4 linked regions of the Lepisosteus oculatus genome follow. The protein of the gene in region 1 interacts with the protein of each later gene in a biochemical or structural test. Links are inferred from orthologs where the notes say so. Each region holds a gene or a part of one and is shown on either strand. Other genes may lie near its edges.

Region 1 (7,203 bases):
ACAAAAAAGCTAAATCTTATAGGTCGGGCAGCGTTTTAATATAAAAGGCTGATATCTGTACCACAAGTATGGAAGAATTGAACAATTTTGTTCAATTGTGTTGTGACCAAGGCCACTGTGCCTTTAAACCAGGCAAGCAGGTCCTTTTTTTCCTTTCAGGCAAACTGTGTGCGAATATTTCTTTCCATGTTAAATTAATTAGAGTGGCTATTTGTCCACAGTTTGCCTTCTGGGAAAAAAAGGACATATCACTCTGCAAGCCAGCAGCCATATCACTCTGCAACTCACAACTGGCAACCCACTGAAGCTAAGCAGGTGTGAGCCTGGTCAGTACCTGGATGGGAGACCTCCTGGGAAGAGGTGTTAGTGGGGCCAGCAGGGGGCGCTCGCCCTGCGGTCCATGTGGGTCCTAATGCCCCAGTATAGTGACGGGGATACTATACTGTAAACAGCCGCCGTCCTTCGGATGAGATACAAAACCAAGGTCCTGATTCTCTGTGGTCATTAAAAAAATCCCAGGGCATTTCTCGAAAAGAGTAGGGGTGTAAACCCAGCGTCCTGGCCAAATTCCCATTGGCCCTTACCAATCATGGCCTCCTAATAATCCCCATCTCTGAATTGGCTTCATTACTCTGTTCTCCTCCCCACTGATAGCTGATGTGGGGTGAGTGTTCTGGCGCACTAGGGCTGCCGTCGCATCATCCAGGTGGATGATCCAACATCTTTTGTTAAATGCACAGTGGTGGTGGAGGGGAGTCCCCATTACCTGTAAAGCTCTTTGAGTGGAGTGTCCAGAAAAGCGCTATATAAGTGTAAGCAATTATTATTATTATTAATAAAACTAGGCCTTAGAATCTGAAGAGACCCTAACCCTAACCCTAACCGAAAGGCAGATCTCTTCAGATTCTAGACCACTTTCTTGTTTCATAATACTGTACAAATTGGAACTGAAATTCAGTACACGTCTAATAATGCTAAAGCATCCAACATCTTTTGTTGAATGTCTGATTATATAAACTATTGAAGCAGCTGTGAAGTATTCAAGTGATGCACACCACATGCTACCTTAAGTGGCATTGCTGAAAGTAAAATGAGCTGTGTTGTTTTTTGCAAACTATAGCTTTTATGTAGTTAGAAGTTCATGCAATTAGCAATCTTATAGATTACATTGTTTTTCGCCATATTTATTAGGAAAAAATGAAACCTTTACAGTAATGCTTAATGTGAAAGTGCTATTTATTTTAAAGCAAAAAACTCAGATAAAGAACATGCCTTGGGTTCCCTTACAGTCCTGTTACCAGAGTGATTTAATACCACAAATAATTATTGAGTCTTAGTGAGAAATTAGTGAACTATTTTAATATTTTCCTTTTTAGGTCACTAATACCAAATAAAATAAAGGTATCCATAAAAAGAGTACACTAAAACACTACTGCATCTAAACGTGATTGTGAGTGAGGTTCAGTGTTCTGATAATATCCAGGGAAAATTAGAGCACATGAGCAAAACTTATTCTTGATTTATCTTCCTGGCTGTATAATTGCACTGCACTAATCCTTGAACTTTAGAATGATGTAATCATACAAATTCCCTGGATTATATGAAACAATCCACAAGAAAGAGACAGACATCAGTGTGAAGCTTAAAAAAACAATTTGTCAAAGGAGCCAGTATTTCAAAATCTGTTTCATTATATGAGTGGGAAACTCCTTCACAGTGACCACAGCAAATCTCATCTGGGACTATTCGGCTAAAATAATAAATCTTCAAAAACTTATATTAGAAGGCAACAACAAATACAAAACGAACTCATGGTCATGTTTTTCTTCCCTTTATGAACTGAGACTGCTGCAGACACTGATAATTTGAATTCTTGGCTTTTAACTAGATGTTTGTTTTTTATCTCTTAGTTCTCTTGCCTGTTTCAAAACTACTTCTGTAATTTTTTGGCGCTCTTAACAAAATCCTCTCGAATCTCAGTGAAGAACTGGAGTATTACTCCTGTTGTAACCCGTCATGTTCCTACATGACAAATACTGACACTAGTTCCCAGACACCCTTGAGTCCCTTTCTGATTTTATTGACCCTTACAGCCAGAGAACAAATTACAGGAGTCGGCTCGAACGTGAAACACGACTCGACTGAACTAATCGTACTTTTCTTTAAAGTTGTCTGGAGCGCCCATTGAGGGTGGATCTGGTTGTTTGAAAGCATGAGCAGTTTGAGAATACAGAACAGGGGCAGCTGCGATCTGGAAGCTGAAAAACAAACCGAAGGCAGCTTACCTGAAAAGAGGGGTGGTGGCAGCTTCCCTCAGCCTGTAGCTGCCCTGGTCACTCTCCAGGTAGTAGGGCAATTGCTGGCTGTGGTGGTGGGGGTGATGGACAAAAGGGGAAAGCCGAGGGTTGGAAGGCACAAACACCAGGGGGCTCGTGGGCACGCTGCCCAGGGAATGCAGATTGGCATCGGAGGCAGAGCCATGAGTGTCCACAGGTGCCGAGTGGTAGCTCACGGTGGTGGGGTTGTAGATGGGGGTGGCAGCGGGGGCCGTGGTGAACTCATAGGTGCCATCCAGGTAGTTGACAGCTGTGCTGTTCCTGTTGTCCTCCAGGTACATCTCGCCCAAGGCTCTCTCTGGGGCCAGCTTGACAGGTGAGCTGCTGAATGCTTCCAGCTCTCTCGTTTCGATCTTGTGCAGCAGAACTAATCCGGGGGGCTTGGTGTAAGGCGGCCTAGCCATGATCAGAGCAAACAGATAATTAGCATGGTTTGTTTTCTTTTTTTCTTTTCCTCCCAGCTCCCACCTAGCACTTTCAGAAGAACGTGATCCTCCTCACTCTTTACAAGACGAAAGCAGAGTGCACAGCCGGAGCCTGCCAGAGATCATTTTTGTTTTCTTATATGTGTGCGTCTGAGAGAGAGAGTGAGCGTGTGTCTGTGTGAGTGTGAGCGCTCTCGTTGCTATGAAAAGATTTTCCTCCCCCTACACCCCAACCCCTCCGACACATTCACAAACCTTTTTATAGTTTTTAACTGGTAGGTGGAGTGAGCGAGGAAACCTGGAGTGAGATATTTCACAAAAAGAAGAAGAAAATAAATCAATTGTAACTTTTTACTCCATGTCAGCATAGATTCATATCAATGACACTGGCATAAGGCCAGTCAAGGCTGAATTACACTGGCATTGGTTTAAATGATCACTTCAGGCACACGTAATTTAGTGAGGTAAGTATTACATGAATATTTTACTAAATCATACAACAAGGACAATATGTGGAGCATAAATGGCCTGGATTCAACCTGGGATTCAAGGTGATTATGTTCCTTCTGGAGGCCACAAGTGAGTCTAGGAATCACTGTTTACGTTCAACACGAACTCCTGGAAGTCAAAACTCACTCCTCAGCTTAACCTGGTGCTGAGGAGTGAGTTTGCCACGCACTAATGACGCCATGGTAACAGCTTTTCACATCTGTGGTGGTCCAAGTGGTTACTGCTTCTGATTTTACAAATATTTTTAAAAGATTACAAATACAATTTACTGGGCAGAATATTAATCTACAAATCTGAAATTCACTTTGCAATTGTAAGACATCAATGGTCGCCACAGGAATAACAGTAAAGCAACAAAACATAAAAATTGTTGTAAAGTACAGAATATACTCTGAAATCCATGTGTTATTCAGGTTCATGAGTCTCAGAGGAAGGTACCTTCGTTAACAGGTGAATGAGGATTTGGTTCAGCACAACTAATGAGGTATTTTTTATCAGCACCAAGGGGTGCTCTCTTGAGCAAATACTAAATTATCTTTTTTCAGTTTGCTGTTAAAAGGAATTCCCACTTAATACTTTTAAATATTACCAGGACACTCCCAGGTAACTTTAATTTTGGTTCTCTAATTTTAGTAAACCATGACATCACTACTGTGGTCTTGAATGTGGCAGGTAAGACTTTCTTGTGTGCAAGCTCTTCTGCACTTTTTATCTCTCTTTTTGCATTTGTTGTTAATTGTTTCATCCTTGTTGAGATTCGGTTTTAGAAAATACATTTAAAAATGTGGTAATTCTATGAAATATACTGAGTATCAAAAATAACATCACTCAATTGCACATATTTGTAAATACAATTTAAAAATGTTAGATATTGATTTAGAGCAAGTGAGAAGTTACAAATGAATGGGTGCAATTTGACTCATTTGGTAGTTAGTAATTAATTAATGCAAGGATCTCATCCAGATATTTCTTGAAAGAAGTCTGGGGATGGACATCAGCAACATAGCTCGGTAGCTTGTTCCATACTCCCACAACCCTTAAGTATTTTTGGTATTTTTAACTAATTTATCAGTCATAACCAACTGCTATATTTTTGAACGACTTTGACTGTTACATAAACACCTAATTAAGCAATTAATCACCTCATTAGTGAGAGATGGGTAGGGAGATGAGATGATTTAACCTTGACTGTCAAGAAAAAGCAAGAAAGATAAACACAGAAACACAGAAATCAACTAATGTGGCTTGCTTTTTAAGAGAACATATTTTAATTATTTCTTGCACGTATACCAAAAAAAGAAAGTCATAAACATTTTAAAGAGGCTAGAATGGGTAAGAAGCCAATAAAATCCACAAGGAAGATATCAGAGAGGTTACAGAACCAAAAGGGAAAAACAAAACAAAGGATAAGTCAATTAAATATTTGAACATACAGTCAATGTAAGCAGTGTTGGAAAAAATACATGAGACAGATGCGACCAAATGAACAGGTAATTATGATGTAATTGGAACTGCAGATATGTGGCTTGCCAAAAATGATGGAGATAAAAGTGAACTTAGTGATTACATACAGCAGGAAAAACATGAGAGGCGTGTTGTACATGCGATTTGTATGACCTCATTTTACCTTTTGTAAAAAGTGTAGTTTCCGTATGTGTTTTTTTATTTCTTACTTTTTTTTTAGTTTGCTGTAAATGGAAAAGTTTTACCATAAGAAATGTTAAACAAATTGTAACGGGTGGAAGATTAAACAGACCCAGAGGAGTGTTTGGGTATTTAGATTCCCTGGTAGTTGCCTATGTGTGCTGTTTGGAAATGGCAAGAATTTGTTCAAACAGTGGATTCAAGTTCAGGAACTAAACCAAGAGGAATCTAGGGTCTCTAAATCTATGTGTCAGGCACATAAAAACATTCTAACAGGGTAGTGTTAAGACTATGCTATTGACCAGATGGTATATATATATAAAATTAATATATATAAATATATATATAAAAAATCCAGATGGTAAATATAATTCAACATTGTGTAATGAAATTAAGAATTTATTTGTAAATCAAGAACATTTTAATGGGAGACTTCAACTTTTCCCATGTAAATTGGAAAAATCTATATATGAGAAACTGAAATAATAGACTTAGTTAATGACTGCTTGATTACTCAGTTTGTAGGAGCACCGACGAGAGAAAACATTCATATTGATCTTGTGTTATCAAACAGAATGAGGTGAACAGAGGTGAGGAAACCATACCTAATGGCATTAGGAAATGAAAGGAAATTAACATTTGACATTTACTCTGAAATACAGAGTTTACAATTTCAGGAAAGAATGAGACACATCTTAGTATGTACTGTAAGAACAGGATGGGTATGGAATGGATAGTAACAGTTTGAACAGATTCCACCTGAAGCACAGAATAAATATACTGTAAGAGTATATTTCATCATAAACCAAGACACAAATGATTAAAAAACAAGATAATCTCTTTAAAAAAGGAATAAAATGAATTGAAAGCCCAGATATAAAAGGATATAAGAGCTGATGAGAGAGATGGAAAGAAACATTTTCAGTAAAAGGTTCTTTCAGTACTACACCAGCACAAAAACCAAAGGATTAAGTAAAATGTATCTGAGAAAATAATGGAACTTCTAGGCAATCAAAAGGAAATTATGTACTAAACGAGGAAGAAGTCAACATTCCTCGGGCAGCAGAAAGACAAAGTTCTTCATTAAGAAGAGTTAATATCAAAAATGCTCTAACCACTCAAGATTAATAACTCCAGCGGTACTCAAGGAAACAAGAGATGTTATCCCTATGCCATTATAAGCTTCTTCCAAAAGTCCTTTCAGAGAAAGTTAGTGATGTTAGACTGGAGAATTGGTAATGTAGTGCCCATTCAATAAAAAGAGTGTCAAAACTGAACCAACTAATTATAGACTAGTATGTCTGACTACTATTAAATGTAAGGTTATAGAAACAATTACTAGAACTAAACGAGAGGATAACTTCTATGAGAACAAGGTCTTAAAGGATAATCAAGATGGATTTAGAAAAGGCAGGTCTTGCTTAGCTTACATGTTAGAGTTCTTTAAACAAGAAAAAACAATAACTGATACACACTAACACACAGATTATACAAAACATTTTGTTAGAGTTTCAAAAGCTTTTGATTAACTTCTTTACAAAAGATAATTTTCAAAATACAAGTGGTAGGCATTGAGGAAAATGTGTGTGGTTGAACTGAGAATTTGTTAATAGAAAACAGAGACAAGGGACAAATGCTCAAACTGGGGTAATATAATCAGTGGAGTACCACAGGATCTGTACTACGAAAGCTATTCTCCCTTATTTATATCACTGGTGTAGATTCTCCTATAGTTATCAAACTAGTGAAGTTTGTATATAACTAAATATAGTAGTATTAAAAAATAGATAAATCAAAAGACTGGCAAACATTTCTGGCTGATGAGGTTGTTTATGATGATGAACTGTAAATAAAAAAATAACATATGAAGAATACTTAGGTGTTTATGTTGACAAATGACATGCTCAAGACAATTCGAGGAAGAAATAAAAAAGGAAAAATAGAATTTTAGGATAGTTAATTGCATCTAATCAAGGGATGTTATCTTAAAATCGCATAATACACTAGAAGTGAGAAAAGAGCAACTAAATTCATTCTTGGGCTTTAAAGTCTTGAACAGAGAGGACTATGGGAAGACCTGATACCAGTATTCAAAATCCTGAAATGTATTGGCAAATTCATCCCAGAAGAGTTCTTCATAAAAACAGAGAAATGTAAACCAGAGGACTCAAATGGAAAATGGAAACTGTGTGAGATTACTCTTATGATTGAAAAGAGGTAGCATTTTCTTACCCAAAGGGTTGTGGGTTTAGGGAACAAGCTACCCAGCCATGTGGTTGAAGTCGATA
Region 2 (7,008 bases), on another chromosome or scaffold:
CATTAATCACCTTAAACACAATTTTGTAAGATGATCGCAGTCGTTATGTTAAAGTCAGGCATTAAAACGCTTTTGCCACCTAGAACGATTAGTCACAAACCGCACTAATATCGTCAGGCGCCGTTCATTTCATGTATCTTTCCCTGAAAGAAACAGCCTCTCACCTCATTTAACCTTTGTCTCGGAAAGCACTGCCTGGAGTTGTCTTATATTTGCCAAAAGTGTTGTTCCGCTTCGAATACCTACCGATAGAGGCCAGCCGAAGTACAATTGTATGTATGTGAGAGTATGTGCATACAGCAATATGAAACACCCATTCAACAGAGCAGGGCCGAACAGCATTTTTAATAAACTTGAGCGCAAAGAAAGCCCTTACACTAACGCTCAATAAAACCACAGACAGCAGCTGAGAGCTGTTCAATGTTTCTGCCTATTCACTGTGACATCCGTCTCCCCTTATAAACTGCTAATTCCCGCTTCAGTAACTCTTAACTATCAATATGAACAAATACTTTTAAAAAATGTTACGAAGAAGTTAGATTAGGTTTATGATAAACAAGAATATTCAATTTTCATAATGTTAGTTTTCTGCTGTGCCTCGCCATTAAACTTCAATAACAACCCTTTGTGTTTTCTAAAGTATGTGACGCTATTGTTAAATAATATATGTAAACATCTAAGATTGCTGTGAAGGTGATTTTACGAGTCATTCTCCGAGAGCAGAAAAGCTCTAAAAGACGAGCAGGAACCTTACCAGGAATACTGCACTGCTGCACAGCACGAATCCCTTACAAGATCTAGCTACACAGTAAAATAACCGCAAATAAGATCTTCAAAACGCTGTGATTTCAATTGTCTACAGGCATGATCAGACAGAAGCAAGTAATTTGGTTCTTTTTAACATGCCCATTATCTTCCTAATCGATTTCAAGTTAGAGAGGCAGACAGTTCTATTTTCCGATATGAACAACTGTCTAATACCCTATCATTATGCGGTAAACCCATTATAAAGTCATAAAAAGTAATTGACTTTTTAATACTTTAGTTTAGAGTCGGTAGATAATTACAATCATTTTAAGTGCTACTTCGCATGCAGAATATTAGAAAAGCAGCAGTATGGATTGCTCCTGCGTCCGAAGAGGAAAAATGTGTTAGCTCTTCAGTCTGAATTTCCAGTTGCTGCTAGTTGGCTAGTCCTCAAGGTATTGTAATCATGAGTATATCACGAATACCCCCAACCCAACAACAGAACCGCTTAAAATTTATTTTCTTAATTTATTTTAAAAATAACACGGCGATTATTTCTGCCCTCGATTGTAATTGTTAATACAAAAAAAACAGGAGAAAACAGGGTAAGTGTATTGCATAAAAGTTCAAAGAAAAAAAACACCGAATTTGCAAACTAACGCTCGGAGTGTGTTTTCATAGTATGAGCACATAATGGTCGTGCCCCCAACGTTTTCACTAACTGTGGCACAGGTCGTGCTTTCGTTGCTCCTGCTACACGCATTTTCTTCGAGAAACAACACCCCCTCACACCCGCACTTAACTCTCATTAACTCACTAAGCAATCTGATTGGCGCTATTCACGAGTTTTACATTACCCATCCACACATGACTCTGGGTTAGCGTGAACTTTCTTTCAAGATTATCCTTTTGGAATTTCACACTCAAGTTGGATTTAGAGGACGTAATCCTACTGTACTTGCAAAAATAAAAAAAACACAACAACGCTATCGACCTGGGGAAAACCACAAGTCATCGAGTTAAATTGCCAGTTTTCCCTGGCCCACGCTGCGTGTGAGCATGTTTGTAAACAATGAAAGCAGACAAATCTGTGTAGCCTAATTACCTCACGCAGAAGACTTTTCATCGGTGTTGTGCTGGTGCATCTCTTCATACATGTGTTGTGTAATAATATCTGGATGTTATCTTTGCAGTTGCAACAGTATAAAGTACCAGAGGAAGTAGACTCTGTGAGCAGTTTAATAACAATATCAATAGCAATGCTAATAATGCTGACCATCGTAGGAAAATACTTTGTGTTCTCTAGTTATAAGCAGTCTTTCGGAAGGTGCACAGAGGCTTACAGTGCACTCTCTGCCTGCTCTTCTTACCTTCCAACCGGCGGAGCTGTTGCTGTCGCCCTTGTCCTTGAAATAGGGAACGCTCTTTACCATCCAGTCGTAGATCTGCGACAAGGTGAGCCTCTTCTCGGGGGAGCTCTCGATGGCCTTGGTGATCAGGTCGGCGTAAGACATATTTCCCCATGCATTTCGTCTGGAGGAACTGCTCTTCCTCTGAGCAGCGGCTACCGAGGAGGCTGAGCCAGCCGGCGAAGACAAGGGGGGCACCTGTTGGTGCGAGAGCTGCTGGCCCGGGTGCTGATGTTGTTGCTGGGGCTGCTGGTGGATGCAATTCTCCTGGCACTGAAAATCATTACACAAAACGAGCGGCTTCTGCTCGGGGTAGTCTTCAGTCTCCTCCAGCAAGCTCAGGTTGTTGATGAAGTCCACATTGCCGCCGGGCTCTTGTTTGACAGAAGGCGCCGGCGACGAATTGTTAGAGTTGGTAGGATTAATAAACTCGGGTCGGGGCAGCGGCCAGGTGCACGACCGGGGCCGTGACAATGGCTCGAAATCCGGATCAAACTCCACCACTTGTTGCTGCGGAGCTTCAGCCATAATACCAGGAAAAGTATTATCCCACTCTCACATAGACCTACGCTAAGGCACACAAGCAGGATGAGAAAAAAAAGAGGCAAAAAAAAACTTCGTCACTTCACAAACTTCTACATATAAAAGTCACAAAACGGAGCCGAAGCGAGTCATAGAGATGAGACAACGCTGGAAAAGAGCTTTTAAAGGTCTGATGAAGGCTCCCTTTTCTGTCGTTGGTCTTGACAAGTTTTGTTTCGGCTGTTTTAAAATCCAGGCTTAAGAAGATCGTATTCGTACCATGTCTGTCACCCCCAGTTGTTGCTTGTTGAATGTTGCTCTGCTAGACTGGCGCAGCGGACTTACTGGAACTACCCAGGGAGTCAGCTGATGCCGCCCACCTCCTGAGTGACACCGGGCGGCAGCCAATGCCCAGTGAGCATCAACAAGCGAAACGCTCACTTTTTTTTTCTTTTTACGGCCAAATATTTCCTCCTTTTTTCCAATAACTTTGTTTTGGTTAATGACATGTAGCCGTAAAACACGGAAAATTGCGGGGTCGGTTTCGCTGGTATCGCTTGTTATTCTGCGCGGCCTCCTATTTCCAGCGCTTTGCAAAATCATCAGAAAGTTATGAGTTAAGATTTTAGAACTCGGGGGGTGGGGGGTTTTGACAGCTGTCATTTTATTGTTTATGTCTGTTTAATTAACGAACTTGTTTATTGTTGATCTATTCCGTCACTCAACTTCCTTTCTTAAATTTTTCCTTCAGCTTTTTTAAGGTCACATTATACCCCGCATGCAATAAACAACAACAACAAAAAAACATTTTACTAGTTGTTAGCATTTATTGCAGAGATAAAAATATATCCTCAAGTGATTTAGAATTGCGCATTTGATAGAATTCTGTGCATCAGTTTATTTTTCTCAGAATAATAAATTATTCTACCCTTCAGATTGTCCAGTGCAATCTGTTCTATAATAACGCACAACGGGGTTTTGTTGCTAAACGCCAAATTGTACTATTAAATATTTGATTTTTTAATCAAATATTTAATAGTACAGACAAAGTAGTTCTAGAAAACTTTGTTAGATATGGAGATTAGTTCTTGCATTTAAGCAGATGGTTATTTAAAACTATTGAAACTCGCTGCATTGGTGCTTTGATTCATTACCATTTAGAGGTGCATGCCATCAGGAGCCACGGTAGAAACATTACATATCACAAAGGTTATCTCCCGTACATTTTAGTCGGCCTGGCTATCATTCGGAGAAATTAATGCTTTTTCTTAACTAATACAATTGATCAGCTTGATAATTGGTCATAACAGTTTTAGAGGACGCAGGCAACCGTGTTTTAGCAATGTGCGCTATTCTGTGATCTAAGATCCCAGAAGAAAGCCTTAATGAATTGTGGTAGCGGTGCATCATTTTAGAGAGAACGTTCCTGACTTTACAGCAAAACTAAATCTGACTTTAAATGCATCTTTCGTCAATGAATTGCAGGACAGAACAAAATCCTATTTAAACAGTGGATTCTGTACAGTAAGGACTCTGAAGTTCTGACACCGTTGTGTGCTGTAGGGACAATAGTTGTGTTGAACGTGTTTTGAAGCACTGAAAAATTAAATATCATCCCAATGGAGTAGAACTATGTCCAACATACGGTGCGGATTGCGTTACTGATACATTTTCTAGGTGACGTTCCATTTTTTTGTTACTGAATTATGCTACTATATTATATTGTTACTATATATAGCTTAATACCAATTTAGGTGTTCCATTTTTCAAAAAATAAATCACTATTATCATTACCGTTGTTGGTATTGTAAATCCCAGCGTTGTGTGCAAGCCACATCTGCACCCAATATGTCCCCGGAGTCCCAATGTGTGCGTAGCATTTGCTAATCCATGGTTTAATAGTAGCCTGTTTATTTTTAAGGAAACCTTGCTGTGCCTAAACCGTTAAATTTATCTGGAAGTTACAGTAGCTAACCCCCGCTTTGACAAGACAGAAGCAGAGATTCAATTGTCTCCCACATGACACTGTCATATACCGCAAAATAAACTACAGTAGGAATGCACCTGTTCTCGGCCATTTAGCTGGCGACCACGATTTAGAGACCAAATTGTTCAAATGGAGAGAAAAGGAAAACAAATAAGGGATTAAGGCAAAAAAATCTTCGTATAGAGCCACCTCTGCCACCTAACGTTGGAGCACGAGTATGTTTGATCTTCACTACTGACAAGTTACCATCTGACTTGAACAGCGGTATTTCAGGACGCATGGAAAGTTCAGGCTTCACAGCTCTAAAGTGTAGAGCGTCCCGAAAGCAGGATTAAAATAACGTTCACATCTTTAAATTGATACGTTTTCTCTGTCTGGAGTTTGGCAACGTTCACCTGCTTGTCGGGTAGTAAAGGCATTATTATGTCCATGACCGGGAATGTAACGCATTTAGTATCTGCCCCTCAGATAATAAGATGTTGAGCGCTCGAGTTGTGCGTACGCAGCAAGTTGCCTAAACAGAATAAAACGGCATCTTATGTCACACTGGAAATATAAGGAGTGTTGCAGACAAAGCAGTCATAGGATTCGTCACTAATTTTTCTTTGTGGGGAAAAAAGCTATTAGTGGCTGGAAGTAAAGAGTCTTCATAGACAGTCTACTCTGATGGAAAGAGATAGTTATTAGGTTGCAACGTAATTTCTGGACATCTATGGCCGGGTGTGTCCGGGTGTGGTAGACCACTGTAGCCTATTGTAGTTTACAACTTGCACGATGTTTGCGAGCTAAACGTGGTTGTTTTCAATATGCTAAAAATGTGTGTAAAGCCAGCCGTAAACTATGAAAATTAAAATGGCGTGCAGCTTCCCAGTGCAGGCTGAAAGAGACAGTTATTAAGAGTTAACAGCAAATTAAAGTTCAAAAAAGGTGGACTGCTTTGTTTGGGTGTGGTAAACCATGGTGGCTCCTGGCAGCCAAAAAGATTTTGGTTTTTCAGGGCCTTGTGACAGCAGTGTCTGAAGCATTTGAGTGAATTGCTGTTTTGAAAGAATCATTGAAAAGCAAGCTAGCTACCTGACTGTCATTAAAATGACAATTAAGAACAGTTCAATTATACCAGTAATTTACAATTAAGGTATCACAAATGTTATATTAGTAAAGGGTATTTGCTTAGCAGAGGGGCATGGTGGCACAGTTGTTAAGATTGTTGCCAGACAGCACTGAGGCCCTGGGTTCCATTCTTGGCATGCTACCGGCATGGAGTTTGTATGCTCTCACTATAATAGTGTAATAGTACGTTAATTAGCTTCTGAGAAAATTGGCCCCGTCTTGCACCCATTGCTTGCTGGGTTAGGCTGTGGCCCCCCCACAACCTTGAATACCTGATGGAAAAGTGATTCCAATGGCTGGAAGTCTTTGGGCTTTGTTGTGATCAGGTCTAGTTGCAAAGAGGAGGAGGACTGTAATTATAATTAAGTCAGTCTTTGCTTACACTTATAAATCGCTTTTCTGGACACTCCACTCAACCCGCTTTACAGGTAATGGGGACTCCCCTCCACCACCACCAATGTGCAGCATCCACCTGGATTATGTGACGGCAGCCATAGTGCGCCAGAACACTCACCACACATGAGCTATTAGTGGGGAGGAGAACCGAGTAATGAAGCCAGTTAATAGATGGGGATTATTAGGAGGCCATGATTGGTAAAAGCCAAAGGAAAATTTGGCCAGGATGCTGGGTTTACACCCCTACTCTTTTCGAGAAACGCCCTGGAACTTTTAATGACCATAGAGAGTCAGGCCCTCGGTTTTATATCTCATCCGAAGGACTACATTCCTTAATAGTGTTTGCCAATAAAACCATATACCAGCTCCACTGAGACAATTACATTATTTTGCTTCCTAAACCAGAGTAATACCTTTTTTATCACCTATCAGTGGTGCCTAATCAGATCTCTGTATTCAAGGAAAGACACAGATATGTTTCCAAGTACAACTTCTATCAGATTTTTGTCAGGTTGCTCCTCCACTAGGCCTAGACTAGAGGTGACAAGGTCATGCCTTATGAGATGGTTAAGGTTTTTTCAGAAAGAGCACATTTCACCTCCAGATTGATAGACACATGAAAACCCATTGATTGGTGGCTCTTGAGGACCAAAGCTGAGAACCACTGTTAAACACTTAAAAAACACACCCTCAAAAGGAGTAAAAAAAACACTTCCTGCCTGATAATAATAGAACAGAAATGAAATTGAAATTAACATCGGGTAGTTCTTTCCAAGACCAAACAAAGAAAGTTTCAAGATAAATTAATTTTGAAAATGTCAAAGTATTTATATCCAG
Region 3 (7,117 bases), on another chromosome or scaffold:
TTCGAAACGACCGTTCACGGCGGAAATTGAATTCCTCGACAGGTAGAGAGAGGTTGTTCAGATAAGTCATCGCATTTTTCTTTCGGGCTCATTCAAATTTCGCTTTAGTCCAGATTTTGTATGGTTCTCCAATCCGACTCTTTTGAATCGGCCGTGTTCACTTTTTTTTTTTTGCCGCTATAAAAAGACAAAGGGGTATCAACACATTTTTATTAAACACGTTTTTCATGACGTGTTACAGAAACTTTTTTTAAAAAATATATAATTTATTCACATACACTCATGCACACGGATTTTTTACGGACGTGTTAAAGGAGTTTTTTAAAAAAAAAAACATAAAATAGTGATTCGGATCAATAAAGTGACGTTTTTCTCCAAGAAGATTCTGTTAAGCCAACAAAACCAGGTTTGCCCTTTCAGCTGAAAGATCTATATCTAAATCATAACATCGAAAGCTTGGCACAGCGTATGAGAGATACGCCAAATTCACACACCGAAATGATCGAGTAGTGAGTCCCCTCTGTAATACAGCCAGGCTGTTCCTCTCAAACGATTTTCTGCGTATCGTCGCCGTTTGAAACTCGCAAGGCGAGAATGTCTCTTTGCTCACTTCGCATGATTTTAGCGGACCTTTTTGCCCAAGTTTTAGACCATAACATGACAGTTTTAATAGCAGGACATGACGTGCGTGTTCCCAGGTAGAGTGCACCAAGCTCTCTGTAACACTGTCCCCTCAAATCAGCGGCTCCGCGACGGGTGTTGTTGAGTTTAAGCAACCTGAGCTCCTGTATCCTCGTTTATCTGGCGAAAAGCATTTCGGCGAGTAGTTCTAAGAGGTCCGCCTGGCCGATGACAGGTCTGAAAAAGAGCTCGGTGATGAGGCTCGGCGTGATGGTCTTGAGCGCGGAGGCGGTGAGGAGGATGCGGGCGAAGCGGCCGCGGTCTCCCGGGTGGAGAGGGAGCAGCACCTCGCGAAGAGCTCTCTGGGCCTCCTGCTGCATGCTCTCGATGAACAGAGACGCTTTCAAGCCCGGGACATCTGAAAAAAATAACCGAATTGAAGGCGTTTTTAAACGTCTACACGCAGTCAGCCTTAATTCGAATTATGGGGTTGCAAAACTGTGCTGGTTAGATACCACCGAGAACGCACTAATCTCTCTCCCGAAGCGGGGGAAAACCAATCAACTCTATTAAGTGTTTCTCCTAACTACTACACGTATGAAACAGAAGGGTTTACATGTGTAGTTTATCCTTTTGCGACCAAGTAATGGCAAATGATGCCAACACCCGTTACGGACGTGTGCTGTAATACCCACAGTGTCAGCAGTTTGAAAATGTGGTACAAACCCCTTCATAACAGACTTTCCCCGCTGGGGGCTGCCTGACGAATTGTGTTCAGGAAACGGTGGCCTTTTTGACAGCTTGGAAACAACGACTTCAAACGCGTTGGTCCGATTCTTGCGAAGTAATTCTGTGCCACTTTACCATACTCATTTTTTATTTCCTATTTTAACTTTCCCCCCTTCAAGAGAAATTAGCTAATTCTGCACTTTATCCCAGTGGACAAGTAATGAATGTGGCTTGTAGACCTAATTAGGTAGAATTTCCTTTTTGGGGGGGGGGAAATGGGACTCTTTTGGGCAGAAGATTTATAGTAGTAAACGAAGGATGAAACTTTGGGCCAATGTCCATCAATGTGTAATTTTCGAAACAGCCTTTTCTTAAGCCATGTCAACAAGCTATTTTGTCCGTTAAAAGACATTAATAAGCAGGACATTCATCCACTCATACATTCCAATTAAAATACTTAGTGTGGATTCCTTACTAACTAATCCATCTACCAACAATTATGTGAGAAAACTATTCGGGAATTGACACTTATTACTTTATTTAACCCGTTGGTACAAGAAGATCAATAAGCACGGTGATAATAATTCGCTAGTATACTTACCGGGGTTAAAAAGAATCGCTCCTTTCAAATAGGCGTATTCTTTTGGACTCATATCCAGGCTCCAGAACTTATTGACGCAAGACTTCAGCTTCTGTACGGCGTCCAGCGTGGGCTGCGCCCTGTCCGAGTGCTCCAGCCGGGTTTGGTCCTGGTCCTGGTCCTTGAGCAGGATTCTCTTCAGCAAACTGGCGGCCGGCGTGTCCGTCACGTCGAAGGCCACCCCTTCCTGCGCCAGCCCCAGGATGAACAGCGGCGCCCAGCCGCTCTGCAGCAGAGCCAGCTGGTCCTTGAGTGGGAGCTGGTAGAAGGAAGGCAGGTTCTTCATGAAGTGGATCGTTTTGACCAGCACGCCGGAAGCTACCTGGCACGTCTCGTCCGGGTTCTTGAGGCCAACAGTCCGCCGCATCTCGCAGTGGCAGCTGTGCGGAGACGTGATGTAGCTGTGGGCGAGGTGGTCGCTGTCCTTGCGGCTCAGAATATTGTAAAGGATGGCGTTGGACTGCCGAACACTGAAGCCGGAACACTGGCATCTGTCGCTGGGCTCTTCGAGGCAAGACATCGTTTACTTAATCTTTTCAACTAAACGAGGCTTAAAAGAATTTGGTACGGTGAACGCGCAGGTAGCCTGTAAATCGCCCTTGCGCGCTGTACCACTTGGCCGCGCAGCTACTTAAATGCTTTGGATCAGAAAAGCTCTGTCCGCCGTGCGTACGCCTGTCTCCAGCTCTGCTGTCCCAGACCTATTTATAGAGGCTTCCCCCTAAGGTACAGCAAGCCAGCCTTGACCCTAGCTGAATAACATTTGCTCACTGAAAAACAACATGACCCTGGACTGCTTGGCTCAGGTAGGTTCGCTCCACGTGGAGAAGATAAGGTTTTCTCAATGAAGATCGGCGGGTTGATGGTACAAGGCGACGTTGGGGTGGTTGGGAGTAGGTCACTTATCTTATTTACTTCAGCCATTAACCCAGCCTGTACCAAGCTACCAAGGACTGTGGGAGTAATCAAGCAGACAGTATATGGCCACTATCGCTGCCAGCTAACACCTAATGAGCTGGAAGCCAGCCAGTACAAACAGTTAAGATATTATGCATGTAAAGAGCTGTCTGATGCGTCCTTGAGTAGTATATCGCCTCTCGCAGATGCGAAATTATTCATTTCAAACCCTTTTCGGCAACCTTAAAAGGTGCTGAATACGAACTTAAAACTGGAACTGTTTTCCTCCGAGTATAAAATACGGAGCGATAGAGATTTTGGTTTCAAGAATAGGAGACGTCACATCCATTGACTTCAACCCAAGGGGATAGGTAGACGTTTTGAAGAGCTACAATGCATAAGTGATACTGTTGAAAATGCAAGATATTCGTGATGTACAGAAAAATCAATAGGAAAAAGAATCACCCTGAAATGGATAGATGGATTACTTCTGAAAGCTTAACAACATGTAAGAAATTTATAAGGATTTATAATTGTATAATAGAACACCAAACGACGTGTTTTGTAGGAAAAACAGGAAATTCTGAAGTGAAAATTCTAAATATAGTTTGTTATGAGAATAATTATATTAGGTTAATAATAATGCTATACTATATAATATTCGGTACTGACAACTCCCCCGTTTTAATCTGATAAAATACATTATTTTTATTCATCTTGTTAAATTTAAAATAAGCTTGTACCTCCATCCCTGTTCAATGCAAGTCATTCTGTGAACAGCATATATCAACACATTCAGTACAATATATGTGTGAAATAAACTGTTCAGAACCTTGGTATAGGCAGTCCAGTATACAAACCACAAAGGGCATTGATTACTAATAGACTTGTATTTTGCAGATATTATATCTGGGTCAGGAATAGACACTGAACTGAAGGTCATTTGTATTTTTCAACTGCTTAACTAATCAGCAGAAATTAAGGTTGCGTCATCATTTCCCTTGACTGAGTCTGAGACCTCACATTTTCTTTTTTGACACTCATAAATGGTGAATTATTCTGTTTCAACTAGTCCAAGCAATTTGTTTTTCTAAAAACTCGTACCTTTATACACTAAGGAGTTTTAAGGAGTGTTGTATTAATAATCACACTTGACTGGTGTGATGTACTAACCAGCGGAGCGTCTTTTTCAAAATGAAAGAGAAGTACAGCACAATTCTTACATAGCAGTTGAATTTTAGATTTTCCTTGGTGTGAAACGTCTTGGTGAATGGGTTTCACTTGAAAGAACCACTGTTAGATTTTTGTTCAGAGAAACGGGCTTATTGTAAGATGTACTGTAAGGTTACTAGATTACAGCCAGATTACTTGTTTCTAATTGAAGAACTAAGACAGCACGTTCAGATGATTTTTCTTGTCTGAAAAACATGGCACATTGGCCTGCTTACTATTTTCTCTTAGTGTGGGATCTTTCTTTCTTTTTGTATATTCTTTTTCTTTTGTATTTTAAAAATGAAAACTCCATTAAAAAAACTGCATCAAGGTTGAGTGTGAAGCAGTTATTGAAGTAGTTCAGGTGGGCAGCTGCGTCACCATGCGTAGGCTGCAAAGGAACAAGTGATAGGTTTATTCCACGCTGAAAAGAGAAGAAAGAAAACACAACGTTGCAACTGTGGAGCCTCACTTGGGTGTGACACTCGAAGAAGGCTCCACAGCCGAAACGTTGTGTTTTCTTTCTTCTCTTTTCAGCATAGTTATTAATGCAATTACATTATGCACATTTTGGGCATAAAATCATTGCTGTCTTCGGAACGTTTTAGGAGGTTCAGTTGGTGAAGAGTGAGACCAACAGAAATAAAGAATTATTCTCTTGTCCCCTCCCTTGGTTTTCCAACAATGCTGCACCTGTGGATTAACGCACAACTCCTGGCGCCAATTCTCCTGCTGGGCACTCCTGACTGAATGCCATTCATAATCAGATTACCATTTCCTGATGGTATAGTCAATAAAAGTGAGCTAATGCAAACAGCCATCATCCCAGAAGGAAGGCTCTGAATCAGAGACAAAGCAGTAAAGTATCCCTTTTTTAATCTCAGTCGTGCCTAGCACAGAGCTCTTCTCCTGATAAGGCAATTGATTTATTGGGGAGGAACAAAACTCAGGAATTGCAGCAACATAGTGGCCTTTCACCAGTGTTCCATTCCATCTGGGAAAATGCAGATATGTTGTTCTGAAAACCAAAACATTTAAAAAAGGATATTTAAATTCACTTGCTAACATTCGTGTACATTGATTTTACTGTAATTACTTTGTTCTCTGTATCCTGATGTTGTCCAACTACAGCACATTAAATACAGCACATTTTTTAATACAGCATATTAAAAAAAACACAAGAACTCATTACCACGGTCATTGTTTCTTAGAGTCACTTTTTACTTTTGGGGAACAAAAATACATTTATTTTTCTGACATTGGTCACACGCAATGATATTATTTTTAGGAGCATTAACTAACTCTCCAATACTACAGCTATTAATATGTACAGTATATCTGGTGAAGATTTCATTCCAACCTTAACCAGCATATCTTTCTTTTACCAAGACAGAATAAACTAACATGTCATCAAGAAAAAACACCTGTACATTTACAGTAGAATATGAAGTGGGCAACTACAGAATGCATCACAGTAGCTTACCATTAGGTCCATTGTTTTTTGTTGCATACGTCTCTGATATCTTGAAGATTAATGGATTGAATATCAATATGTGACAAAATCAGCTACTGCATAGGGAAGTAGTCATCTTGGATGGAGACGAGAGGCTCTTGTCATAAAATTGTTTTCTATATTTTATTAAATATGAAGTTATTTGGTAGTTCTATTAACTCAATGTGAGTATATTATTGCTGATGTAGTGACTCTATTTATGCCTTTACCTAGAATAATAATTTTAAGCTAATGTGGCTATGTTATCAGGTACATTAAGAAGTTTTAGGAGGCACATATCACAAATGTCCATTGGTGGAAAGCAGGCAATTGAACAGAATGCTTTCTAACTTTAAGCCTGCCTGATTTGTGCTAAATATAGCATGGACTTTGACCAGTGCTTCATACAAAACAGGTGGGAGAAATCAATGAAGCCAACCTCAGTGCAGAAAGCACACAGACCTGTTTACCAAGTGACATCCAGGTTATCACAGGACTCTGCACACTGACTGGATTAACTGTGCAACATACCGTCGGAATAAACAGGTCTGTCTCACTGTCAGCTGACTGGTAAGTAGTGCCAGGACAATGCACTGAAAACATCAGCACTGCAAACTTCACAGGACAAGCCTCCTTTCATCTAGATCATCGAATCGCTAAATTACAGTCCCACAACAAGCTATACTCTATATATTATGCCTCTCCCATGAATATTTTTTAGGACAGAGAGTAATCAGAGATATGTTTTACAGTATGTAATATGTAATCAGTATTACAAGACATTAAAAGACATATTTCAGTAAAACTTGCATAACCATTAGAAAATGTAGTTAACAACAACAATTATTTCCTGGGCTTCTACAGAGTATTCACATCCATAATTGACGAGGTGTGTCAACATATTTGACCAACCTCAATTCCTCATATTTAAGCTGCTTCACCTTTCTTTATCACTTCCAGGCACGTTTCTTAGTACTGGAAACAGCATTTTCAAGCAGAAACAACATACTGAAACCACTTCTTCCAGTTGAGGATCACAGGGGGGAGCAGGAGTCTATCCCAGCAATCAAAGAGCTCAAGGCAGGATACACCCTGGACAGGATGCAGTCCATCACAAGATAGACACACAGACACACTCACACCAGGGCCAGTTTTCCTACAGTTAACCTACCAGTACGTTTTTTGGACTGTGAGAGGAAACTCATAAGAACATCAGGAGAACACATAATAAACTCCACACAGAAAGAACTCCAGGCCCAGAATTGAATTCAGGGCTCCAACACTGCAAGAGAGCAATGCTAGTCTCTGTGCCACCCATGACTTAGTAACTTGTATGTAATATTCAGGTAGTAGTATGGAGTAGCAGTGCTCTGGACTGTAAACCAGAGTGTTATGGGTACTGCTTCCAGGTTGGATGTTGCTGTTGTAACTTTGAGCAAGGTACTTCACTCAGCACACTGCAATAAATGCCCTCTAAAATGGGTCATCATTATAAATGGTCATTTGTTCTCAAATGTGATCACCTG
Region 4 (7,730 bases), on another chromosome or scaffold:
CGCGCAGCTGCTGCTGGTTGTTCTGCGCGATCAGCCGCAGGCGGTCGGCGGCGTCCCGGGGGATGTTGAACGTCACGCGCACGCTGTTCCAGGGCTCCAGCCGCTGGGGCAGCAGCCGCTCCGAGTCTGCCCGGGCACAGGAGGGAAAGACGGGTGAGAGGAAACCACGAAGAAGCCCCGCCAACGCCCAGCCGCGGCCGGTGTGAGTGACAGAATTCGCAGTTAAGGCACTGAAAAGTAGGAGTTTGCACTGATGTTTTGTTTTATGTAAATGTCCATACCTGATGCTGGATTCTACTACTCTAGTCACACTATTACAACTTTCCACTGTTACCTCTGTACTTGGTTCTGTATAAAAGCATAGACAGATTGTGATCCAATATCGTTTTCCCAGTGAGATCAAATCTTTGCTTTTATCCATAATGTGGTGGGTACAGTGTATTTTAATTCTCACAATGCTATCGCGTTGTTGCTCACCTAGTTCCAGCATGCCTGGCATACTTTCTAAGAAGTTGTGCAGGTTCTCCTGGAAGTCTTCATCACCCATGTTGCCCTTAAAGGCGATGAAGATGTTGGAGTTGTTGTCCTGGCAGCGGGGCCGGGGTGAGAGGTCATGGTCATCCTCCACCCCAGAGTCCAGCCCCGTGTCTGGTTCGCCCACAGGTGCTGTCCACGCTGAGGGTGGCTCTCGGCCCTGCCAGTCTGCCATTGCCCCTCCTGTAGAGCAGCGAGGCTTGATCAAAACCAACCCTGCAGAACCGAGAGGCATTGTGGGAAGGGCTTGAGCTCAGGTTCACACAAGTAACAGCCAATCAGGTGCAGCACAAAAAAAGGTCAAAACAGACTACCTGACAACCTCACAGTGCGGCTCACAGGAGCTGTACAATGGGCCCAGTACTGTTAAGATCTCAATTACATTTATCAGCTATGGGAAAAAAAAACATTTCAGGAACAAAAAACTATTTTTAATGTTCTCATAAACATTCTAAATTGAATGAACAATTATTGCTCCTAAAGGGATGTCTTGCACATCACAAAGCTCATACACAAATACGACCACAATATAATGCAGCAACAATAACAAAGTTGTTTGGTGTTTGGACCACATTCAACGTCCAGTACCATAAGGGTTAAAAAACAAAAAATGTTCTTACAAAAATCCAAAAACAAAACTAATGTGATCCCTACCTACAAACATTTTAATATAGAAGAGTTGAACGCTTTTAGGTATAAAGGAAAGAAGTGATCTCTTAGTCTTTATACAGAAGATGCAATACCTTCTCCCTGAGGATAGGAAGGTATATTCTAAAAAGAGTGGAGGTGAGGGGTCATCTCAGATTTTATGTGCAAAATTAATAATATATCACTCCATTACTGAGTCCAGGATTGTGGAAGTAGTCTTGCCACCAGTCCTGATCACTTTGTTCAATTTATTTTTGAATATAGGACAAGGCACCTCCCCAGCTCTGAATACAAAAGGTTAGGCCTCTCTGTATAAAACATCTTATTACAAGGGTCAACACTGTGCTTTCTACGCTGCTATATCGGCCTTCATGAGCGGTTGGAAACATGACAGACATGCACCATCACAGCTTCCAAAGAAGCACCATCACTGAAGAAGAATGCACAATGTTTCTTCAACTTTTCAGATTATAGAGAAGTTCAATGCAATTTTCCTTCAAAAGAGGCAATCCAACTGAAGCTCAGCTCTTTGACAGAAGAGACTGGGCTGGACCACACAATTTGTGACATTAACTATAAAAATAAGAGCATAAAATGATCGTACCCCATGGTCATTCAGCCTACCTAAGCGAAAGAGTATTCAGAAACCTGAGTTTCATAATAAACCCCTTTCTTTTCAGCATTTTTACATGCAGAAAATAAATACCAGATACCAGCACCACACACGAATTCACACAATCTCGACCTCCAAGAATAAACTGAACAGATAACGCAAAAGCATGACAGACAGCAACTGACAAAACCGACCTTTACGTCTAGGAAAAATGAATAAACCCTGCATGGATTTAATAATTTAATAATAGAGTCAACAGAAGGAGTAATTATTCCTCCTCAAAAACAGTTTATCTTTGGCAGTAATATGACCAACAAGGAATGCAGAAAATGCATGTATATTCGTATTTAAACCACTATAACGAATCCGAGCAGCTTATAAGATAATTCAGTAACATTTAGCAGTCTGTGCACTGTAGTTATGTACAAGATACAAGAGCGGCATTATTGTACATCTTAAAAAGATCATATACAGGAACCATTTCTCACGAAAATACATTTCTTTAAAAATCTCAATATAAATTTGAGTTCAAGTAAAAAGAAACAAAAGCTGTGATCGTGACAGGAAAAATATAAGTTAGGGTTTTGACACCTTAAAATAATGGTTTGTAAGAATGATAGCACCCATATCAAAATGCTGCATATTTTGCATTTGCCGAGTAATTTATTTCCATCATTTCAAACATCACACACACTGTTGGCTACCAGTCTGGAGGAGATGCATGCGATGGTTACGGTGGAGATGTTATCCCAACGATGCGCGTCAGCAGTCAGAAGAAAACCCTTTTTGGTGACATTTTGGTTTCAACCTGCAGGTTTCCGAGACGCGAAGGCGTCCCCCCTGCTCGCTTCAGACCGAAAACCGTACGACAGACGCGAACTCGAACCCGAAAGGAGCGGATTTCGTTTTCCGCCCGAGATTTGCGATGTATGAACGCAACCATCACAGGCCCTCCGAGTTTGGTTTTCCGCCACCATGGATGTGCAGGCTATACACCGGCTCCGCAGCCGGAGATCTGAATCTCTGCCATAGTCGGTAAAAACGCCCTCGCTTTATTGCAGTTACACCTTTTAATCTTTTTTCTTTAAGCCAAGCAGAACAAGCACATAGGCTGGGTTTTAATCCTTACCTGATCACTCCATTGGAATCAACTCCTGTTCGGTAACAAAAAAAAAACGGAGCAGGCAGCCGTGACAACAACACGAAGCGAGGGGGGGGGGGTGGGCAGACACTAGACAGCCTTTTCTCGTTTTCGCCCTATTCACAAATCAATCTCCTCCTGCTTCCTGGCATGAGGCGTGTAGTGTTAGGCTGCGCAACTGGCGTAAACGAATCGTTCAGGGCGTCGTGCAGATTTGTCTTTTCGCTTGCCGTAGTTTCCGCCGATGGCGGTGATCTCTGAGCTAAGGAGAACAGGGGGAGAAGTTAGCTCCGCAACAAGGGACGAAGCTATTGGTTGTGAGCTGCTCTGAAACTCAGTAAACCGAAATTCTCTTTGACAAAAATCGAACCAATAATTGATTTTAGTAGTGAAGGATTTATTATTATAGCAGAACAGGGGGGTACGACTTAGTTCTGCATTTTTTTTTTATTCGCTGCTACACTGTATAATTTATTACCTAATAAAAACACGTCCGACGTTACCTTGTAAATTCACACTTCCGTGATGTTTTGTCGCTTCGCCTGTGTGTGTGTGTTGGCGTTGAGCAGCAAGAACAACATTTTGTTAAATTAATGTCTTGCGCACGCAAACGACTTTATTTCTTTTTGCACTTTGCTGTTAATGCTAATAATTGTCGTTCTTATCACTCGCAGCACACGAAAGAATCACAGACCGAACAGAAAATAGAAATGTTCCGTCCTCCAGCAGTATCAGCGCACTTCTCTTACCGTGGCCTGATACAGTAAAACTAGTTTAAAGAAATGCATGATTTCCTGACACTCTTTACATTGTCCTTATTGCTGTAATGGGTTATAATAATGGCATAGTCGGATTTATAACGCCTTATTTTGCCCACATGTATACAACCACTTAAACCAAGTTATACAACCGGTTTTCGGCAAATACGTAAATCATGATAAAGTAATGGAAATAAAAAAAACTAGCCACAGCATATGCCCTGATATAGAATTGTTTTAAACCCATCACCTGTGCATTCCAACATCGACATCAACCAAAGCGCATATAAATGCATATACTATATGATATAGTGCGTATAAATCATAACTACGTACAAAACCACAATGACCTTGCCTCACAGTTTTTGTGTTTCATTCTAAAACTAAAGCTTGGGTACCTTATCTGTGGAGTTAGCTTGGTCTCGCATCACACCCATGGGTTTTTGTGAATTATCTATTTCTCTCCCAACATCCAAGACACACTGGCTAGTTTAAGAGGGTACCTAAATTGTCCATGACCCACTTGAGCCACTGTGTGTCTGTACCTTGCAATAAACTAGTGTCCTGTCCAGTTTATAGACCTGCCAGTTTGTAGATAGCCTTCCGTTTCTGTTAATGGATTGTTGATGTGATTTTGTAACACAATACAGTATTTCTAGATAGTATTACTGTGCTTTTCCTGCTTAAGTGTTTTGTTAATTTCAGTAAAATATGTAATTACTCTTCACACTGCTAGTTTGTAATTAGAGTATAGATTGCTCAAAAGTAAGAACATATGCTTGTGAAGAAGGCAAACTTAAGGTAGGTAAAAAAAACTACATACTACAAAACACACAGTCTTGACATGTTTTATTAGAAAATCTGTTAGACCTTGTACATGAGATGAATGAACATTGACTGCTGGCAACATCATAATCTTTTAAGCATTATTTTATGGCAAAAAGGCATTTTTAAGTGTCAGCTTTATTAAAAAAATAAAGCGTCATCCAGTTTTGTGAACTGAAGGTTAGTAGCCTTCCACTACAAGAGTACTGTTATAAAATACAGTACATTGACACCTAGTTCATTCAGTCGTCCCTTTTCTTCCATTAAACTTGGCTTCTTTCTGATTGCTAAATACACATGACTAATGTGCAGAAGAACAGGCTGGGCAAACAACAGCACTAACATTTTGATATAACAAAAGATGTTCTGTTTTGTAATGCAAATGCAACATTACAGAATGAACAAAATGAGGAACGGGATTGATCCAAAATGGGATGTAATCTTTTTTGGATCAGTATTAGGGCTACAGATAACAACAGCAGCCAGAGCAGAGCAACAGCTGCTCAGAGCAGGAGTAGCGTATGAGAGGGTACCAGCAGAGAACCATCGATTTAATTGATCCAGAGATTTCTGAATAAACTCTGTTCAGCTAATTGACATGATGAACCTTGTTAACACAAATTCAAATATGACCTCTTTTTCAGATCTGTGAAAAGCTGTGTGTATAAGCAGAGCATTCAGAAAGTTGTCCTAGACATCTAATTTCTCACAATTGTCCTGTGATTTCTGCCTAAAAAGGGAATTTGTACTGTAATGGTCCCTGTTGGGTATGATTGAAACATTGTGTCCTAACGGTATGACTAAGCATGGCATGTCCTTCAAATGTACAAACTGTTAATCTTATTGTTAATCTAACTTGTAGCCCAAAAGGTTTCTCTTTCTTCCTTCAATTTAACAAAATTAAATTGTGTCTGTGTTTCATATAGTCGCAACCATCGCTGAACTGGGCCAGTAATCTCAGTGGAGTACTGTACGTTTGAAAAACAAGAGATCTAAATAAAGTGTAATCTCCAGGAACTACCCTTATCCCCCAACAATAACTGTATATACCACAATTATATTAAATCTAAGATAATAATTCTCAGAGTGATAATATCAGATTCTGACAACATACATTAAAACGAATACAGGGGTGATCACTACAAAACACATTACTTGTGATATCACTAGTTCATGTCCCACTGCATTTATTGACTAGAACTCTACTGTGCCAATTAAGCAGAGGGTATAATGCAAAGTAAATCCAAATTCCTAGGTTAATGTAAGTCTGTCATGGCTCCTAGTTGAACCATGTACAGTACAGTTTTAGTGTGTCAAAGATTAAGATATTAAAGTATGCTGTGTTACAGTGAAAACAGTACAGTAATGCAAGCTCCTTTATGGCACTTTGACTTGGTTACCTGGCTGGGATGGAGAATTAAATTGCCAACTGCATAAATAGTTTCTTAATATTTCTAAATTATTGATAATTTCTGCGGTAGACTTAGGGCTTGACCTTAACTGATCTCCAGATCTTAGTGGCAATTATTAACATAATCAGGGAGTCCTGTTGCATAGCTGACTTCAAGTAAAAATTACTAGTTACTAGTTTGAAGAAGAAAAACCGATTTCCTATTTTAATTGTGTATACATAAAAAACTAACCATGTAACATTACAGACATTTCTAATGTTCAGTGTAAAGTTAGGGTTTTTCCATTCATTATACAAATGTTATGAAACCATAGCCTGTCAAATGTTTGCATCTCTTTCCATGAAAGTCTGCTTTTATACCTATTGTTTCAGTCTGCAAACTTTTAGCAAAAATGAAACTTCATTCTCAGGTACTAAAATGACATCCTAAGCATACTGTACCATCACTTCAAATATTGCATTTACAGTGTACATTCAAAGCATCCTTCTGGACATTTCTACCGGCAGTCAGCTACGATACCTTACATTCTGTTCTACTGATAATTTGCCAAAATCATCCCGTAAGTGGCACAAAATGAAGCAGTACATTACATTACAACAGTAGCGGGACGGATGTTTTAAGCATGTCATGATTCAGTCATGTGAATTTCCATCTCCAACAGGTCCGGCCCCGATCAAAAAACCTCTTGGACAGATTTTAAAAATTGACCTTCTGAATTCTGAAAAGCAAAAAATGCACTTTAGATAAAGCTTCGCACTATCATTACGGACACCTGATGGGCGCACGGCGGATGACAGGAAATTCTCAGCAGCACATGACGCCCCTCTTTTGATACAGGGCAGGGTGGAAGGAAAGGGGGTTCGTGTCAGTTCTTGGGGTTGGCCTGCATTGATGGTCAGTGGTATTTACAGTGTAGCAAGTGAATGCTTCTGACTAGACAAGACTGCAACGGTGAAACTGCTGTGCAACATGCCCTGTGAATCTGGCAAGAATCTACAATAAATATCGAATCGTGCACCTGTCTGCAGGATTAGGCGAAACAGCTGGCCCCTCCCTAAACTTGCTGACACTTCATGCTCCCCCCCGCCTGTGACCGGACCCCCTCTCCCCTTAGGGGGTGGTAATGGCAGAAGCATCGAGATTTCGGGGATCCTTCACGGCGATCATGAGGTCATTCGTCCTCCTGGTGCCTTCGACCACTGACAGGACGTCTACCCTCTTGACATTGTGTCCCTTAATCTGCAGCAACTCCACGTCTTCTTCGGGGAAATCACCTTGGAGACAAACCCACAAAGGGAGTGTATGAGATATACACACAGAAAGGCATTTAAATATTTTATGATGTGCTCAGGCATTGCAGCCCATACTGCCCTGACGTTTTCCTACAAGCAAGTAATTGTACTGCAGCGTTAACCCAAACTTTAAAAGCGTTATAAGCATCCATTACTTCAGCATCAGAAAGTTGCTCACTTCAAGTAAGGGTGGCATCAACCCCAATCCTATGCCAGAAATGTAGGGCTCAAGATGGGACTACACACAACATGGGTGCCATTCAATTATAAGGCACTGACACACACCAGGAGAAATGATTAATTTAGAGACAACAATTAACAGAAAAACTGTGCCCACCGAGGGTGGAAAGACGTCAGACAAATGGCTGCAGAAAACTCCCACAATCACAGGGAGAACACACAAAACCCACATAGAAGGCGTCCCAGCCCAGAACTGAACCCAGGGCCTAAGAGCTCTGTGGCAAAAAGTTTTTCAAAATTCCAATTAAAAACACACTCTTATCTTTT

Evidence for each region.
Region 2: the proteins of esr1 (region 1) and forkhead box protein O1-A form a complex in vitro, tested with the Homo sapiens proteins (2 studies listed by BioGRID). The link is inferred for Lepisosteus oculatus from reciprocal best matches to the Homo sapiens genes ESR1 and FOXO1.
Region 3: the proteins of esr1 (region 1) and nuclear receptor subfamily 0 group B member 2 form a complex in vitro, tested with the Homo sapiens proteins (2 studies listed by BioGRID). The link is inferred for Lepisosteus oculatus from reciprocal best matches to the Homo sapiens genes ESR1 and NR0B2.
Region 4: the proteins of esr1 (region 1) and ncoa6 form a complex in vitro, tested with the Homo sapiens proteins (4 studies listed by BioGRID). The link is inferred for Lepisosteus oculatus from reciprocal best matches to the Homo sapiens genes ESR1 and NCOA6.

Annotation. Positions count from the first base shown.
Region 1 is NC_090697.1:48,520,517-48,527,719, reverse strand, and holds the start of esr1 (estrogen receptor), read right to left. Parts: upstream 3,014-7,203; 5' UTR 2,741-3,013; coding exon 2,286-2,740; intron 1-2,285.
Region 2 is NC_090700.1:16,813,351-16,820,358, reverse strand, and holds the start of forkhead box protein O1-A, read right to left. Parts: upstream 3,015-7,008; 5' UTR 2,685-3,014; coding exon 2,118-2,684; intron 1-2,117. UniProt on the Homo sapiens protein: Transcription factor that is the main target of insulin signaling and regulates metabolic homeostasis in response to oxidative stress.
Region 3 is NC_090706.1:7,320,337-7,327,453, reverse strand, and holds nuclear receptor subfamily 0 group B member 2, read right to left. Parts: upstream 3,001-7,117; 5' UTR 2,511-3,000; coding exon 1,952-2,510; intron 1,040-1,951; coding exon 798-1,039; 3' UTR 327-797; downstream 1-326. UniProt on the Homo sapiens protein: Transcriptional regulator that acts as a negative regulator of receptor-dependent signaling pathways. Specifically inhibits transactivation of the nuclear receptor with which it interacts.
Region 4 is NC_090711.1:6,898,419-6,906,148, reverse strand, and holds the start of ncoa6 (nuclear receptor coactivator 6), read right to left. Parts: upstream 3,027-7,730; 5' UTR 2,925-3,026; intron 751-2,924; 5' UTR 710-750; coding exon 478-709; intron 127-477; coding exon 1-126. Other genes in the region: glutathione hydrolase 7, read right to left, coding at 7,042-7,205. UniProt on the Homo sapiens protein: Nuclear receptor coactivator that directly binds nuclear receptors and stimulates the transcriptional activities in a hormone-dependent fashion. Coactivates expression in an agonist- and AF2-dependent manner.